3 linked regions of the Macaca mulatta genome follow. The protein of the gene in region 1 purifies or fractionates together with the protein of each later gene. This does not show direct contact. Links are inferred from orthologs where the notes say so. Each region holds a gene or a part of one and is shown in the gene's direction. Other genes may lie near its edges.

What was found. The genes of interacting proteins can lie anywhere in the genome.
Region 2: the proteins of FKBP5 (region 1) and CHUK purify together in Homo sapiens (co-immunoprecipitation; 4 studies listed by BioGRID and IntAct, with this or other methods). This does not show direct contact. The link is inferred for Macaca mulatta from reciprocal best matches to the Homo sapiens genes FKBP5 and CHUK.
Region 3: the proteins of FKBP5 (region 1) and CDK9 purify together in Homo sapiens (affinity purification with mass spectrometry; 10 studies listed by BioGRID and IntAct, counting the BioPlex papers as one, with this or other methods). This does not show direct contact. The link is inferred for Macaca mulatta from reciprocal best matches to the Homo sapiens genes FKBP5 and CDK9.

The regions. Positions count from the first base shown.
Region 1 is NC_133409.1:146,648,223-146,653,599, forward strand, and holds part of FKBP5 (peptidyl-prolyl cis-trans isomerase FKBP5), read left to right. Parts: intron 1-3,547; coding exon 3,548-3,690; intron 3,691-4,610; coding exon 4,611-4,725; intron 4,726-5,377. UniProt on the Homo sapiens protein: Immunophilin protein with PPIase and co-chaperone activities. Component of unligated steroid receptors heterocomplexes through interaction with heat-shock protein 90 (HSP90).
Region 2 is NC_133414.1:112,276,697-112,282,839, reverse strand, and holds the start of CHUK (inhibitor of nuclear factor kappa-B kinase subunit alpha), read left to right. Parts: upstream 1-2,625; 5' UTR 2,626-2,701; coding exon 2,702-2,806; intron 2,807-3,156; exon of another isoform or gene 3,157-3,306; coding exon of another isoform or gene 3,307-3,357; intron 3,358-6,143.
Region 3 is NC_133420.1:19,919,946-19,926,101, reverse strand, and holds the start of CDK9 (cyclin-dependent kinase 9), read left to right. Parts: upstream 1-2,638; 5' UTR 2,639-2,686; coding exon 2,687-2,778; intron 2,779-3,239; coding exon 3,240-3,321; intron 3,322-4,058; coding exon 4,059-4,149; intron 4,150-4,487; coding exon 4,488-4,654; intron 4,655-4,754; coding exon 4,755-4,926; intron 4,927-5,084; coding exon 5,085-5,233; intron 5,234-5,648; coding exon 5,649-6,014; 3' UTR 6,015-6,156. UniProt on the Homo sapiens protein: Protein kinase involved in the regulation of transcription.

The DNA.
Region 1 (5,377 bases):
TGTTGGGGAGGCTACTTTTTCTTTCTCAAACTCTTGTTAAGAATCAGTTGAAGCCAAGTGCCTGTAGTCTCAGCTACTCAGATGCTGAGGTGGGAGGATCACTTGAGCCAGGAGTTCGAATCCAGCCTGAGCAACATAGCAAGACCTTGTCTCTTAAAAATGAAAAAAAACTGGGCTGATGCAATGGCTCACACCTGTAATCCCAGCACTTTGGAAAGCTGAAGCAGGAGTATCACTTCAGGCTAGGAGTTCAAGACCAACCTGGGCAATGTAGCAAGACTCCATATCTACAGAAAAATTTAAAATCATGGTGGTATTCACCTGTAGTCCTAGCTACTAGGGAAGCTGAGGCAGGAGGTTCTTTTGAGCCCAGGAGTTCAAGACCAGCCTGGGCAACATGGTGAGACTCTGTCTACAAAAAAAATAAAGAAGAAGAAAATTAGCCCAATGTGGTGGCACATGTCTGAGGTCCCAGCTACTTGGAAGGCTAAGGTGGGAGGACTGCTTGAGCCTGGGAGGTTGAGGATGCAGTAAGCGATACTCATACCACTGCACTCCAGTCTGTGTGACAGAGCAAGACCCTGTCTCTTAAAAAAAAAAAAAAGCCATTTTATAAAGACAGTTGGGCAATAACTATCAAATTTAAAATGCATATCACCTTTGCACTTCCAGGAATTTACCCTCCAAATATACTTATGCAAAGTAGGCAAACATAAATGGACAAGTAGTCTCATTAGATTATTGTTGGTAATATATGCATCAATAGGAGATTGTTGTATTATACACCCAATAATGTTTTTCCTTTATCAAATACATATTATGTGCCAGGCACCATGCCGTGCATTTGATGTGTTTTGTCTAATAATTCTTAAAACAACTGAAAACATATGGCAAGTACTGTTATTATCTACATTTTGCAGGTGAGGAGACTGCAGCACAGAGATTAAGTAACTTGCACAAGTTTACACAGATAGTAAAAGGCAAACTTGGTATTTAAATCCAGGTAGTCTGAGGTTAGAGTATGCTGCATTTTTGACCTCTAAAATGTACATCCTCCTTTCTACTGTTGGAGAAAGAGGATGAAGATATATATTAAATGAAAAAGTAGTTTAGAACTGAATGTCTAGGTCACTGTCATTTGTGTTTTAAATTTTTTTAAAAAGGTACAGCACACAGTAGGATACCAAAGAAACAAAACAGTGACTTATAAGGAACAAATGGATGGCCTTTCTGCTTTGACTTTCCATCTCTTTCATGGGTGTTTTAATAATAGGCATGTATTACTTGAATAATTTTTTTTTTTTTTTTGTAAGAGACAGGGTCTCGCTGTGTCACCTAGGCTGGAGTGCAGTGACATAATCATTGCTCACTGTAGCCTCTTACTCGTGGGCTCAAGCTATTCTCCTGTCTTAACCTCCAAAGTATCTGGAACTACAAGCATGTGCCACCATGCTGCACTAATTTTTTAAATTTTTGTAGAGAAGGAGTTTCACTGTGTTGCCCTGGCCGGTCTTAAAACTCTTGGGCTCAAGTGGATGCTCCCACTTGGCCTCCCAAAATGCTGAGATTACAGGTATGAGCCACTGTTCCTGGCCACTTAACATATATTTTTAACTGAAATAAATGTAGCTTACATTTGGAAAAGTTGTAATATTTAATGAAGATTAAGCTAAAATCATGAATGACAAATGGTTTATCCATCCCTGCTTACATACGGTTATGTAGGGTTTCACTTGTCCTAATATCCTACCACCAGCTCACTTCAAATTCACTTCCTCTGGGGTTCATCTCTTATCTGATCCCACTTTGAATACTTACATTTTTGTTTTTGTTTTTTGAGACAGGACAGGGTCTCACTCTGCTGCCCAGGCTGGAGTGCAGTGGCATGATCTCAGCTCACTGAAACCTCGACCTCCTGGGCTCAAGCAATCCTCCCTCTTCAGCCTCCTGAGTAGCTGGCAAGCACCACCACGCCTGGCTCATTTTTTCAATATTTTTTTGTGGAGATGGGGTTTCACCATGTTGCCTGGGCTGGTCTCAAACTCCTGAGCTCAAGAGATCTGCCCACCTTGGCCTCCCAAAGTGCTGGGATTACAGGCGTGAGCCAACGTGCCCAACCCCCAGATACTTAATGTTTTTGATTAACAAAGTACCTCATTTGTAATGTAGCCTTTTTTTTTTTTTTTTTTTTTTTTTTGGGACAGTGTCTTGCCGTGTTGCCCAGGCTGGAGTGCAGTGGCATGATCTCTACTCACTGCAACCTCTGCCTTCCAGGTTCAAGTGATTCTCCTCCCTCAGCCTCCCAAGTAGTTGGGATTACAGGCACATACCACCATGCCTGGCTAATTTTTGTATTTTTAGTAGAGACGGGGTTTCACCATGTTGGCCAGGCTGGTCTTGAACTCCTGGCCTCAAGTGATCCACCCGCCTTGGCCTCCTAAAGTGCCAGGATTACAGGCGTGAGCCACTATGCCCCACCAAAATGTAATTAGCCTTTTAAATTGCCTGAATTTTCTATTGTTTCCCAAAGGACTTGATACTGCTTACAGTAAGATAATGATGCACATCATAGGAACTGTAAACATTGAGATTACAATTATATAGCCTAATATAGTCCTACAATTGAGCAGTAAATTTAACTTAGTTTCCTGGAAGTAGGCAAAAAATAAAACATTTTAAGTTCTGTAGTTGTGGTTTGACAAAAAGACACATACGTTTTTGTTTAAAGAAACCTTTTTCTGATTCTAAATTTCGAGAAGAAATGTGTTTCATAGACCCTTTTATGCAATTTATATTGTTCTGGTTACTTCTTGTTTTGTTTTGTTTTGTTTTTGTCTACCCAACTAAATTACAAGCTTCCTTAGGACAAACTCTATTTTTCAATACTATTTTTGTTCTATCTTTGCCTAGAAAATGTGTGCTTATTATAGTTGAAATGATAAATTAAGCAACAGTTGCAACACAGCCATATTTCATGGATAATGTTACCACCAGTTTTCAAAGACTTAATTTTTGAGTAGTTTAGGAATTTATACTACTTTCATCCCTTTCAGCAGGGAATCCTTTTTGAGACAGGTCTCACTGTCACCCAGCCTAGAGTGCAGTGGCATAATCTTGACTCACTGAAGCCTCAACCTCCTGGGCTCCCGGGCTTAAGCAGTCCTCCCACCACAGCCTCTGGAGTAGCTGGGACTATAGGTGTGCACCACTATACCCAGCTGTGTTCCTTGGGGGTTTTTTTTGTTGTTTTTTTTTAAGAGATGAGGTCTTGCTATGTTGCCCAGGCTGGTCTCAAACTCCTGGACTCAAGCGATCCTCCCACATCAGCCTCCCAAAGTGCTGGGCCGATCAACAGGGAATCTTTTATGATAGCCTTGAAATAAATAAATATTTATTTATTTGTATGTAGCACTCGGTCATCTTGTAGCCCATACTTTCTAGCTGAATATGTAGTATGAAAAACTGGAAATTTGAACTTTTGTTTAATGAAAGTTAAATATTTTTAAATAGGGCTGATAGCTTTCAACTACCTTTTCCTTTCTCTTAGGCCAAGTTATCAAGGCATGGGACATTGGGGTGGCTACCATGAAGAAAGGAGAGATATGCCATTTACTGTGCAAACCAGAATATGCATATGGCTCAGCTGGCAGTCTCCCTAAAATTCCCTCGAATGCAACTCTCTTTTTTGAGGCAAGTATGTGTGTGATGTTGCCTTGTCAGCATCTGCTCTACAATAGGAATGGCTTTGAAGCAACAGGCAGTGGGAAAAGGAGCTATAGAGAATCACATCCAACTTACTTATTTTGGAGCATGGCTTCTTGGATTGTTTCCCACAAACCCAAGGGTGCACGTGCCAGTGCTTTTTGAGAAACGTATTTCCACCACAAAAAGGTCATATCCAAATACGCAAAAGACACTACACTTAGAAATAAAGAATCTGGTCCATGGTGTGAGTGTGACATACTCAAAATTGACCAGAATGCAGGATGGAAATGTTGGCAATAAATGTTGAAATATGCCTATGTCAAGTTGCAGGGTATTTTCATATTATAAAGGTTTATATGTCACAGATCTCACTTCTCTAGAAGTGTTTGATGGTGATAAAACATTATTCAACCTGTGTTGAAATTACATATATTTGGCAAAACTTGATTTTTAAGAACTACCCCAGCTAGGTAAAATATACCTTTAATCAGTCATAGGCCACATTCATGAAATTTATGTTTACATTTTGAGAAGGGAACTCCATAAATCCAGGGTGGGAAAGTTGTGGCCTCAGACAAACTGTTCTACACCAGCACCTTGTAAAGCTCTGGGTTTTTGCCCACAGGGTAGTGTTCCTAGTATTTCCTGTCTCTGCACCGCAGTCCCTTAGGATATAGTCCTAGACATTATCATTATGTGAAATTCTTTCCAAGTATGGAAAAGTATAGTGGGTTTTTTTTTTTTTTTTTTTGCTACTTTTCCAATAATTAAGATGCATAAATGAATGTATACATTTTGAAACAGCTTTATTTTGTAAAATGAAATAATTGGTTGCCCTTGCCTTCACATATGTTAAATTGGCTTTATTTGGTCTTTTCTCATCTGAATTCCTTTTTTCTTTCTAGATTGAGCTCCTTGATTTCAAAGGAGAGGACTTATTTGAAGATGGAGGCATTATCCGGAGAACCAAACGGAAAGGAGAGGGATATTCAAATCCAAACGAAGGAGCAACAGTAGAAAGTAAGTATTAAAGTAAGAGGGAACTAGTCCTTAAAAGTTGGACCATTTATGTGGACGAAATGGAGACTTAAAAAAAATATGTTTATGGAAATGAACATATCGGCTGGGCGTGGTGACTCACGCCTTTAATCCCAGCACTTTGGGAGGTGGAGGCGGGCGGATTGCCTGAGCTCAGGAGTTTGAGACCAGCCTGGCCAGCATGGCGAAACCCCATCTCTACTAAAAATACAAAAAACTAGCCAGACGTGGTGGTGCATGCCTGTAATCCCAGCTCCTTGGGAGACTGATGCACAAGAATCACTTGAACCGGGGAGGTGGGGGTTGCAGTGAGCCAAGATGGTGCTACTGCACTCCAGCCTGGGTGACAGAGCGAGACTCTGCCTCAGAAAAAAAAAAAGTATTGAATATATCTCAAAGATAGTCTTAGCTGGGCACAGTGGCTCACGCCTGTAATTCCAGCACTTTGGGAGGCTAAGGCAGGAGGATCTCTTGAGCTTAGGAATGCGGCACCAGCCAGGGCAACATAGTGAGGCCCCATCTCTACTAAAAAGCATCAAGAGAATTAGTCAAGTGTGGTGACACATCCCTGTAGTCCCAGCTACTTGGGAGGCTGAGGTGGAAGAATCACTTGAGCTCTGGAGATCAACGCTAC
Region 2 (6,143 bases), on another chromosome or scaffold:
GATATTGTTGTTTTATGTGCTTGATATATCTAATGTGTGTCTTTTGTGCTGGTGGGCAGTTCTAAACTCATTGGTACCTGGGTTGGTTACAGGGCTTTGGAGATCATCAAGGTATAGGCCATAGGTGAAATTAAGATAGGGTAAATACAGTCCTGAGCTGAAGATGATTGCCTAAGAAATATCAGTTTGTGTTTTGTTTTGTTTTTTTTTTGGAGACGGAGTCTCGCTCTGTTGCCCAGACTGGAGTGCAGTGGCCAGATCTCAGCTCACTGCAAGCTCCGCCTCCCGGGTTTACGCCATTCTCCTGCCTCAGCCTCCCGAGTAGCTGGGACTACAGGTGCCCACCACCACGCCTGGCTAATTTTTTGTATTTTTAGTAGAGACGGGGTTTCACCGTGTTAACCAGGATGGTCTTGATCGCCTGATCTTGTGATCCGCCTGTCTCGGCCTCCCAAAGTGCTGGGATTATAGGCTTGAGCCACCACGCCTGGCCAGAAATATCAGTATTTAAGGAGGGCTTGAAAATAGTGATCTAACATTTACATGGAGAAGGAGCAAAGAGAATACTACATAGTAGGAGCAAAAAGAAAAATATTTTTACCTTTATATTGGGCACTTACAGTCCAGACACTGTTTCATTTAATCTTCACAAAATCTCTGTGAGGTAGGTATTACCTCTATTTTACATGAAAAAGAATAAAAACTGAGACTCAGAAAATTGAAGATTGTGGAGCCTGGGGTCAACAGGCTTAGGCTTTTTAAAAATTTGAAGGCTGGTCGAGGTGGCTCACGCCTGTAATCACAGCACTTTGGGAGGCTGAGATCAGGAGTTGGAGAGCAGCTTAACCAACATGGTGAAACCCTGTCTCTACTAAAATAGAAAAAAATAGCCAGGCATGGTGGCACGCACCTGTAATGCCAGCTACTTGGGAGGCTGAGGCAGTAGAATTGCTTAAACCCGGGCAGTAGAGGTTGCAGTGAGCTGAGATCACGCCATTGCACTCCAGCCTGGGTGACAGGAGTGAAACTCTTGTCTCAACAACAAAAAACAACTCAAATTACTCATGGCCCTGGGAATGGGGGCATTTAAAAAGTTAACAAAGGGAACCAACCTGGTTTCCACAAAGATGGCCACTTCCGGGTCAGCCCAATCATCAGTATCCCTGGGTCCTCAGTATCCCTTCCTCTTTTGAGTGGGAATTATGAGATTACAGCCCCACCTATGGAAATTGAGCACACTAGCACTGGCCATGCTGTACATACGTCAAATGAGAGGGCTTCATACTGTTATAACAATCTGTACCACAATTCTCTGTGCGGTCTGCCCAGCTCTAAATGACATGTCCTCAGAGGCGCCATCATCTCCAAGTCCATGGAAACCACGCACTTACAGAAACCAGAACCTCCCATACCACATGTTACTAATGACCTACAACATCGACTTGGTCTGTATCATGCAGTGCTCAACATTCTGGTTGCAGCATCACATTTCTCAAGAATTTGATTCCATGCTGACTCCTTTACTTGGAGTATTGAGATTCCCCAGGTACAGTGAAAGTATGAGCCTCTCAAATGGAAGACCAGAAGCTGGTTGTCCTATGCTATGTCAATCCGCCACCCGGAAGCACTTGCTGCACCAACAGCATTCCCAAAGCTTGCCTCTGCAGCCCTGCAGCACCCATTAGAAACACTTCTCACAATGAACTGCTGTGCTGGCAGAGCCCTAACTGGACTGCTGGACAGCAAGCTCTGTGAGGCATCTAGGAAAAAAGTTCCCGAAATCCCGAGAAACATTCTTCACTCCGGAATAGCGTCACATCATTGAGTCATTTGGGATGACGGGGCATATCATGGAGCAGGTGTATTGGGAAGTCAGTGAACAGTAAGGCTAATTCATTAGTGGGCCTGCTGGCGTAGTATTTTTCCAGTTCCGCAGCCTTTAAATCATTGGTGGTCTTTAGCGTGCCGGATCAGCGGGTGGTGGAGTTGGAGGATAGATGGCAGGGATCTGAAGAAAGGTGAAGTGTAGACGAGTGGAGACAATGTGAAGTTTAGAAAAGACTAATTGCCGGGCGTGGTGGCTCACGTCTATAATCCCAGAACTTTGGGTTGCCGAGGTGGGAGGACTGCTTGAGGCCAGGAGTTCGGGACCAGCCTGGGCAACGTAGCAAGACCATGTCTCTACAAAAAACAAAAAAACCAAGCGAGGTGGTGCGCGCCTGCAATCCCAACTACTCGGGAGGTGGGAAGATCGCTCAATTCCGGGAGGTCGAGGCAGCAGTGAGCCGTGATCATGCCACTGCACTCCAGCCTGGGCAACGGAGCAAGACCCCATCTTAATTAAAAATATATATTTAATACAGGAGAGACTGGACTGCTTTGAAAAGTGAATTTGATGGGAATGCGAGGTTTGGAGAGATGTTATGTTTTCCAAGACTTGAAAAACATTGTGGTTCCGTTCAGCCCTCCCAGAAAATACCTAGGGGACCTAAAGAGCGGACCGAGTACCTGTTCGTTTCCCCACCCCTTAGCCGGCAGGGCTCCGGCGGCGCCCTGGGAAAACGTAGGGAAGGGCCGTTCTCGCAGCGGTTACCGGAAGTGACGCATTCATTCTCGCGAGAAGGAAGACGCGCGAGCGTCGGCGGCCCGGAACCGGCCTTGGAACAGCGGCGGAGCCTGAGGCCGCTTGCCCTCCCGCCCCATGGAGCGGCCCCCGGGGCTGCGGCCGGGCGCGGGCGGGCCCTGGGAGATGCGGGAGCGGTTGGGCACCGGCGGCTTCGGGAACGTCTGTCTGTACCAGCATCGGGTGAGGCGGGGCGCGAGAGGGAGCGGCGGTGGGTTTGAGCGTCTGTGGAACACAGGGCTGACAGTGTGGGATAGATGGTTAGTGGGACCTTGGGCAGTATTTGTGGGCCAGTAGGCTTGTGTGTGTGTATGAGAGAGAAAGATACTCTGCCTGTGTGTGTCCAAAGTTGTATCTGAGGTACTGGGCATAGATAGAGCTGTTGCGGGGAACTTGGGTATGACTGTCAGGCTGTGACCAGGTGTTTAGTGAGTGTGACAGTGCGCGTGTGTCTCTGTGAATGTAGAGTGTCAGGGTGTGTGAGGCAGATGCACGTCACAGTGTGTATGTGTGAGCACGAATGTGTGAGAAGAGGGTTGAAGGAGACTGCCTGTTGGAATGTGTGCGTCCGTGTGTTTGGGTCCGTGTGTGCGCGCGCTTGCTTGGAGGCCGTGTGATATCAGTGGGGACTGCAGTAGACAAGGAAGGCTTCATGATGGGTCCAGAGTTAAACCTTTGGAAGTATGGATGGGCTTTGGAATTGGGGATGTATTCCAGGTCGGGACAGTATGAGGGTAAGTTGGTGCAGATCATGGCTTCAAACGGAAGGCGATATTAATAGATTGGAGATGGGGGGCGCTCCAGTCAGTGGAGGACAGTTAACATCAGACTCAAGAATTTTACTTTGATTTAATAGAGAATGTTTAACCATTGTAACAGCAGTTTAAAAAATAATATTTGGGTCATGTTTGTGTGTTTGTTAGTTTTTGTTTTCGAGACGGAGTCTCACTCTGTTGCCCAGGCTGGAATGTAGTGGCGCGATCTCGGGTCACTGTAGCCTCCTCCTGGGTTCAAGCGATTCTCCTGCCTCAGCCTCCTGAGTAGCTGGGATTACAGGCGCCCGCCACCGCGCTGGGCTAATTTTTTGTATTTTTAGTAGAGACAGGGTTTCACCATGTTGGCCAGGCTGGTCTCGAACTCCTGACCTCAGGTGATCCACCTGTCTCAGCCTCCCAAAGTGCAGGGATTATAGGCGTGAGCCACTGCGTCAGGCCTGGGACATGTATTTTTTGTTATAAAAAATGATAATCAATAAAAGCTGTGAACCCTTTCCCCAGAAAAATGCACAGATGCACATCCACGCAACCATGCATTGCCATTTGAGAGGTTCATGCTTTCCTAAAGGACATTTTAGGTAAATAGACCCCGGACTAACACTTCCTGTAATACAGGCTTTGTTTTGTTCCCTATAAAATAGGTATAGTATAATACTTGCATGCATCATGGGTTTGAGAGTTAAATAAAATAATAATGTATGTAAAGCTAAATACAGTACCTGACCCATGAAAGCCCTCAACTGTTAGCACCTGCTGCTACTTTGTTGTTGCTGCTATGATCATAATGCTCCTCATTAATTGGCCTTAAACAAGGAAATGTCAAGATTAAAAGTGTTGTTCTAGGAAAATGGTTTTGTGAAGGATAAATTTGAGTGGAACAACATGTGGGACAAGATGAACAGTTAAGATTTTACTAAAATGCCTGGGCTTGGATTGTGAATAGAGAAATGAATTCAAGAGGAAAAGTAATAATTTGTTATCTAAAGGAACATGGGTGTAGTGAGAAAGCTCATAATTTGGGGTGGGAGAAAGGGGAGATAGGTGTCTACTTTGGAGAAATAGGCATGTTTAGGGTAATTAGAATGACAACTGAAACTGATAGAACTGAGGAAGTTTTGTGAACCAGGTTTCTAGATAGGGTGTGGGAGAAAATCTTGGAGAAAGAGAATGGAAGGTGAAGGACTAAGGCATTAAATCCTATGATAGCAGGATAAGTAGTAAATTTAATAATTCTCACCATCAGAGGGAATATAACACACTAAAAAAAAAAGTGGGAGCCAAGTGCTTCCAGTGGCATGTTGCCTGTGTTACCTAAGCCTGCCTATAGACTGATCATAAGGAAAAAGGATGCATGCTGGCAGCTTTTGTGACTTCTTTTTTTGGTCCCTGGGTGGGGATGGATGAATTCATCACTTTTTGTTTTATTATGGTAAAGTATACATAACAACATTTATCACTTTATTTTTAAGTGTACAGTTAGGTAGCATTAAGTATATTGACGTTGTACAGCCGTCACCCTATCCCCAGAATATTCCAGCTTTTTAAGCACATAACTTTGTTGTTGTTGTACATCTATAAACTGCCCATAGAACATTCTTTGCAAAAAGGTAGAATTTCACAGAGTGGATGAAATATAAATTAAGGAGTTGAAGGATCTTACAAAGTGGGATTTTTGAAATAGATAACTTACTGCTCCATCAACATGAGCATTTAGGACTCAGTGCTGTTCATAGCTGTGCCTGATTCTCATCTCCATGGTGGTAAAGGTCTGCATGGGACATAGATATAACTGGCCACCTGCTCATAACAAAAGGAAGACTGAAGGGAGTGAGACCTGTGGGTAGGCTAGCTTGTAGTCTGTCCTATTTTCCTTCTTCTCTATGCACCAAGTATCATCTTATCTCTAGCCTTTTTTTCCTCTCAGCCCCCAATTCACACTACCCTATCCAAGCTGTGTCTTCCTTCCCCACCTATAATATATTTTTTTCTGTCCTGGCCCCTCTCTTTATTCATACACAGCCTTTATTACAACTCTGGTTTGTGTCAGAGATTACGTATGTTGGAAATTCTTTTGAACTCTCTTTGTGATATCAGAAACATAGTGTAGCCTGTTTTGCCCTGGCTGCTGTTTCTGAGCTGCATTATTAGTGTTGCCAGAATATGATGGGATCTGGCTATTTCCTGTAATGTGCATCAGAATGGGTTTAATTTCAGTCAGAATTGGCTAAATTACTAGTCACAGGCCAGAGATGTTAGGTTCATTGTGTAGATATGGAAACAGAAGTACACTCATTGGTAGGATTTTTTTCCTTCATGTCATTTGAAATGCATACATTAAGATTGGAGTTTTTTGCTTTAGGCTTGGTTATATTAAAACTTTCTCTTGCTGTTTGGAGTCCAGGAAGCCCTGAATTACCTTCTTCATTCTAGTTATGCTGGGAGCTGGGGCCCATGTTAGTTGTCTTGATTAAGCTCTGAATGGAATTTGCTGCGGAGACAGGATCTTTTTTTTTCTGACATTACACATGAGAGAGAGTTCCAAAGAGACCTGTTATAAAATCAGTTTCAGTCACTTTTCCCTTGTGTGCTGTTATGTGTTCGAAGGTCAGTTTTAAAGCATTGGTGTAATAGTCTCATGGTTTATCTTTTTAAAAAAGCGTTGCTTCAAGAGAGCTGTGGATAAATATATTTAATTAGTAAAGCTAAAAAGTTTTGTTTTAGGTTATTTCTTTGGTAGCAAATAA
Region 3 (6,156 bases), on another chromosome or scaffold:
CTCGCTCTGTCGCCCAGGCTGGAGTGCAGTGGTGCGATCTCGGCTCACTGCAAGCTCTGCCTTCCGGGTTCACGCCATTCTCCTGCCTCAGCCTCCCGAGTAGCTGAGACTACAGGCGCCCGCCACCTCGCCTGGCTAGTTTTTTGTATTTTTTAGTAGAGACGGGTTTTCACCGTGTTAGCCAGGATGGTCTCAATCTCCTGACCTCGTGATCCACCCGTCTTGGCCTCCCAAAGTGCTGGGATTACAGGCTTGAGCCACCACGCCCGGCCCCCACCTCCAATTTAGCTAACAGCCTCCTGCTTCTAATAGTGTACCCATGAACCTGACCCTACTTCTCTCCCTGCCTAAACCCCTCTCTGGTTCTACACTACTCTCAGGAGGAGAGGCTCCTTCCTCCTCAGCCTGACTTTCCAGCCCCTCCCTGGTAATGCCCTTACCCAGAACAGGACCTCTTGTGACATCAAGGTCATCAAAGCCATTCCAGCCTCCTCCTAGGAGGCTTTGAGGCTAAGCAGTGTGGGGTGAGAGCTGGGAGCCACCCCGAGGGTTTTTTTTTGAGACGGAGTCTCACTCTGTCACCAGGCTGGAGTGCAGTGGCAAGACCTCGGCTTACTGCAACCTCCACCTCCTGGGTTCAGGCGATTCTCCTGCTTCAGCCTCCTGAGTAGCTGGGACTACAGGCACCCAACACCACGCCCGGCTAAGTTTTGTATTTTTAGTAGAGATGGGGTTTCAACATATTGGCCAGGCTGGTCTCGAACTCCTCACCTTGTGATCTGCCTGCCTCGGCCTCCCAAAGTGCTGGGATTACAGGCGTGAGCCACCGCGCCCACCCCAAGGGCTTCTTGCAGGAAGAGAGGGCATCCAGAGTCTAGGGGAGTGTGGAATCAGGGGAGAACCGCCCTGAAAGCAGGAAGGCTTAGGGAGACAGTAGAGAGATTTGCATGGCCACAGCCTGGGAGGTGGGGTGTGAACTGGAAAGAGCTTCCAATGTCACATTCAGGTTCTTCGGGGACAGAGAGGCCAGACTGGGGGGCCAGGTCTCAGGATCCACCCGCAGAGGGCTGGAGAGGAGGGGGCAGATTGAAGCGGGGCAAAGGAGGCAGAAAAGACGGCTTTGCCGGAGGCTGTCCTTGGGCAGAGCTGGAGGGGGAATCTGGGGGCCGCTGGAGCCAGGAAGATGCAGGCGAAGGGATGGGCGCGATGGGGGAGGGAGATGGGGGGGTGAGTGGTGAGCTCCCGCTTGCATAAGGACAGCAAGCCTCCCCAGTGCTCTCCTCCTGGCCCAACCACGGATAGCCTGAGTCAAGAGAATCCCCTTCACAGTCAGACACCCAGCTTTGTCGCCGTGTGACCTTGGGCAAATGACCTCACCTCTGAGCCTCAATGTCCTCTTCTGCAAAATGGGTTAGTGATCCTGACTATGGGGCTGTTGATTCAGGATTCGGCGGAAACGCCCAGCACTTCCTGAGCACACAAAGAGTGCTGAGAAAATGGTAGCTGTTTTTTGCGATTATTGACCCGGGGCCTGATCAGCTCTGGCGCGACTCGGCGAAGGCGCGAGTCCTGCGGGTCCCATCCCTGCCTCCTGGAGAGCCAGGCTCCAGCGATAGAAGGCCCGGGCGTTGCTTGCTCGTCGCCTCCAGTGCCGCCGCGCCCCCTGGCGGCCGTCGGTTGCCATGTCAACGGAGGGTGGCGGGGACCGGGGGAGGCGGAGGCGGGGGCCGTTTTCTCCTCCCAGGGCCGGAGGACGCTCCCTCCGCGCCTCCCGCCTTCGCCTCTTGGGGGGGCACTCCGAGCCGGGGAGGAAGGGGCTCTCCGCGGCAGCCGGCATGTGGGGGTAAACTGAGGCACGCGGCTGGGCGCCCGCAGCCAGGTGCCGAGCGCGGGGCCCCACCTCCGAAGGCGGAGGAGGGGCCGCGGGCGGTGACGCGCCGAGGGCGGCCGGCGGACAGCGAGCGGGCGGGCGGGCGGGCGGGCGGTGGCGGCGGCGGCAGGTGCGGCCGCGGAGGGTGGGAGGGAGGAGGGCGGGGGCGGGCGGAGGAGGAGGGGAAGGCGAGGCCGGGCACCTCCCCCTTTATAACGCGCCCCCTCCCGGGCTCTCGGGCCGTCTCCTAGTCGGCTCTTCCCGTCTCGCCCCCTCGCCCGGCCGCCCCGGGCCCGGGCCCGGCCAGGGAGCCCCCAGGCCGCGGCTCGGGGGCTGCCCCCCCGCCCGCCGCCCCGCGCAGCCCGGCGGAGGCGGCGCCGTCGGAGGAGGAGGAGCAGGGCACTGCGGCTGGCCCCGGATCGGGCGCCAGAGCGGCAGCAGCTTCGGCAGCAGCGGCGGCCCGGGCCCATGCAGCGGGACGCGCCACCCCGAGCCCCAGCTCCGGCGCCCCGGCTCCCCGCGCCCCCGATCGGGGCCGCCGCCAGTAGTGGCGGCGGCGGAGGCGGGGGCAGCGGCGGCGGCGGAGGCGCCTCTGCAGCTCCGGCTCCCCCTGGCCTCTCGGGAACTACAAGTCCCAGGGGGCCTGGCGGCGGGCGGCGGGCGGAAGAGGCGGGGTCGGCGCCGCGAGGCCGGAAGTGGCCGTGGAGGCGGAAGTGGCGCGGCCGCGGAGGGGCCTGGAGCGCGGCGGCGGCGGGACCCGGAGCGGGAGCGGCAGCAGCAGCGGCTGGGGGCGGCGGCGGCGCGTTGGAGGCGGCCATGGCAAAGCAGTACGACTCGGTGGAGTGCCCCTTTTGTGATGAAGTTTCCAAATACGAGAAGCTCGCCAAGATCGGCCAAGGCACCTTCGGGTAAGGCTGGGCCCCTCGGGGCCGGGAGCCGTGGGCCTGCACCCCTAGGGCGGACGTCGGGATGCCCCGGGCCCCGCCCGAGTTGGTAGAGAAACCGTCTGTCCCCGGGCTTGCCCACTGGTCTTTAGGCCGCGCCGCACCCCGCCCCGGCCTGAAGGAGCCGGCTGGTGGGGAGGAGCCTGAGGCCGGTGGTGGGGGCGGGGAGGGGCTGCAGAGAGGCGCCCGTGAGGGGAACGGGATCTCTCCAAGAGACGCCCAAGTGAGGAGAAGGGACTGAGAGAAGGAAGCAGAAGCTCCGAACGAGACAGGGTGCCGGGTGGCGGGGTAGCCGCGTGCCCTGGGTACTTACCCCAGCCCCGCCCGGGAATCTTTTTGCTGCTGCCCCTCCTCCTGTAGTGGGGGAGGGGCGGGCCCTGCGGAAATCGCCTGATGAGCTCTCGGGTCTCCCTTTCCGCCTGCAGGGAGGTGTTTAAGGCCAGGCACCGCAAGACCGGCCAGAAGGTGGCTCTGAAGAAGGTGCTGATGGAAAACGAGAAGGAGGGGGTGAGTACGGATCGGGCGTGCGGGCCAGCCGTCTAACTGCCCAGGACCCCGGGTCGGTTTTCCACCCTGCTGCTTCTAGGAGTCTCAGGTTGAGATTTAATTTTTTTCGTAGTAGTTCAGAAATTTCCAGGGAATTTGGCCTCCACCCTAAAACTAAATGCTTCATTCTTAGGCAGTTATGGGTGAGACCGGGAGGGGGAGTTGATGCATGCATCGTGTGCACTTTAGTTCACGAAGTTAGGAAGCCTTTAAACACCTTTTTTTAGTGTTAAATTTTGCTTAATGTTAAAGAAAGATACATATGCATGCAAATTTTTGAAAAGTGACTAATACTCAGTTATTTAATGTGTTTAAAAGGAGCGGTCCCTCCACCCCATCTTAGCTCAAGTACAACGTCCCATAAACCTTCCTTTTCCTGATGTGCTTTAGCGAGGACATTTTTGAATCGTCATGTTTGTTGCCAACGAAACAGCCATAGAGCTGAAGTTTGAAGGCTGAAACCGCCGAGCATTTAGTGGCTAATAGCAAAGTATTGCTGTTTCAGTTTGTTGTCTCAAATCATCTCCTTGAAGTGTGCATGCTCCTACTATATCCATTTTACAGGCAGAGCTTCTGAGACAGCTGGTTTCAGAGCCCATGATCTTGCTCTGTCTCCCATCTTGCCTCTCAATATAGACCCCAGGGCTGGGCTCTGTACTGCGCTCACTCTTGACCACTTTCCCCTCTCTCCCACCCAGTTCCCCATTACCGCCTTGCGGGAGATCAAGATCCTTCAACTTCTAAAACATGAGAATGTGGTCAACTTGATTGAGATTTGTCGAACCAAAGGTAAGTTGTTTGGATCTTATGAGGAGATGACACTTGTAGCCTAAGGTTTTGTTCGTAAAGTTGGAACTAGACCCACCTAAACTGCCTCCTCTTAACTCAGATGGACCCATGGTGACTGCTTTCTCTGGTCCTCTTTCATCGTAGCTGGTGCTTCCTCGGGGTCTGCCCTGGCCCAGAAGAGGCACTCAGAAAATATTTGACCAGTGAAGGAAGGAACAGACAGATGCTCTGGAGGGCTTGGGTGCCCATGGGTTGGAGCAGGAAGAAAGAAACTGGTTGTGGGAAAGTGTGTTGGGTGTGGCTTTCTTGACTTTTTCTTCCTTGTATTCCTGCCTCAGCTTCACCCTATAACCGCTGCAAGGGCAGTATATACCTGGTGTTCGACTTCTGCGAGCATGACCTTGCTGGGCTGTTGAGCAATGTTTTGGTCAAGTTCACGCTGTCTGAGATCAAGAGGGTGATGCAGATGCTCCTTAACGGCCTCTACTATATCCACAGGAACAAGGTGGGGGCGAGAGCTGGGAGGAGGACCCAGGCTTGGGCTGGCCTTGGCTCCCACTACCGGGTGGATATCACTGAAGGAGCCACTCTTGCCCTTCTTGCAGATCCTGCATAGGGACATGAAGGCTGCTAACGTGCTTATCACTCGTGACGGGGTCCTGAAGCTGGCAGACTTTGGGCTGGCCCGGGCCTTCAGCCTGGCTAAGAACAGCCAGCCCAACCGCTACACCAACCGTGTGGTGACACTCTGGTACCGGCCCCCGGAGCTGTTGCTCGGTGAGGACTCCCGAGCGGGCCGAGGGGGGTGAGGGCCAGGCATCTACCTGGCCCCCGCCCCCCCACTGCCAGGGCTTCTTGAGCTGCCGGCCCTGGGGCATTGAGTCTCAGGAGGCCTCCGGGCTCAAGGGGCCCTCCTGGTGCGCTCTTCTTCCCAGGGGAGCGGGACTACGGCCCCCCCATTGACCTGTGGGGTGCTGGGTGCATCATGGCAGAGATGTGGACCCGCAGCCCCATCATGCAGGGCAACACGGAGCAGCACCAACTCGCCCTCATCAGTCAGCTCTGCGGCTCCATCACCCCTGAGGTACGGGGTCCCGGTCCCCCGGCAGAGGAGTGGGGAGTGGAATGGAGGGAGCGCTCCTCTCTGGAAGGGAGGCTGGTTTGGTGACAGGGCCTGCCCTTGAGAGCCACACAGGCTATGCGCCAGTCTTGGTTCCATCAGCCATTCTGTGGCCTTGGGCAGAACAACTGAGTCAGCGCTGGGTTTCTCTTCTGTGAACCAGAAATGTGACGTATGTCAGGGTTGGGCCTGGCATGTGGTATGTGCCAATCTGTGGCGGGCACTGCTTCTCTTGGGAGGGGTCGAGTTCTCTCTCCAGTAGTAGTCTGGGAGTCTCGAAGTGGAGCAGGTATTTTAGTCCTTTTAGGCCTTAACAAAGGGATAAGCCACGTACCTCCTGGCCGGACTTCATCCTCTGTCAACGCCCCCTCCCTCCCAGGTGTGGCCAAATGTGGACAACTATGAGCTGTATGAAAAGCTGGAGCTGGTCAAGGGCCAGAAGCGGAAGGTGAAGGACAGGCTGAAGGCCTATGTGCGTGACCCGTACGCACTGGACCTCATCGATAAGCTGCTGGTGCTGGACCCTGCCCAGCGCATCGACAGCGACGATGCCCTCAACCATGACTTCTTCTGGTCCGACCCCATGCCCTCTGACCTCAAGGGCATGCTCTCCACCCACCTGACGTCCATGTTCGAGTACCTGGCACCACCGCGCCGGAAGGGCAGCCAGATCACCCAGCAGTCCACCAACCAGAGTCGCAATCCCGCCACCACCAACCAGACGGAGTTTGAGCGTGTCTTCTGAGGGCCGGCGCTTGCCACTAGGGCTCTTACATTTTTTTCTTCTGCTATGTGACTTGCATCGTGGAGACGGTGGGGCATTTGAGTTCATATCTCTCATGCATATTTTATTTAATCCCCACCTTGGGCTCTGGGAGCAGCCCGCT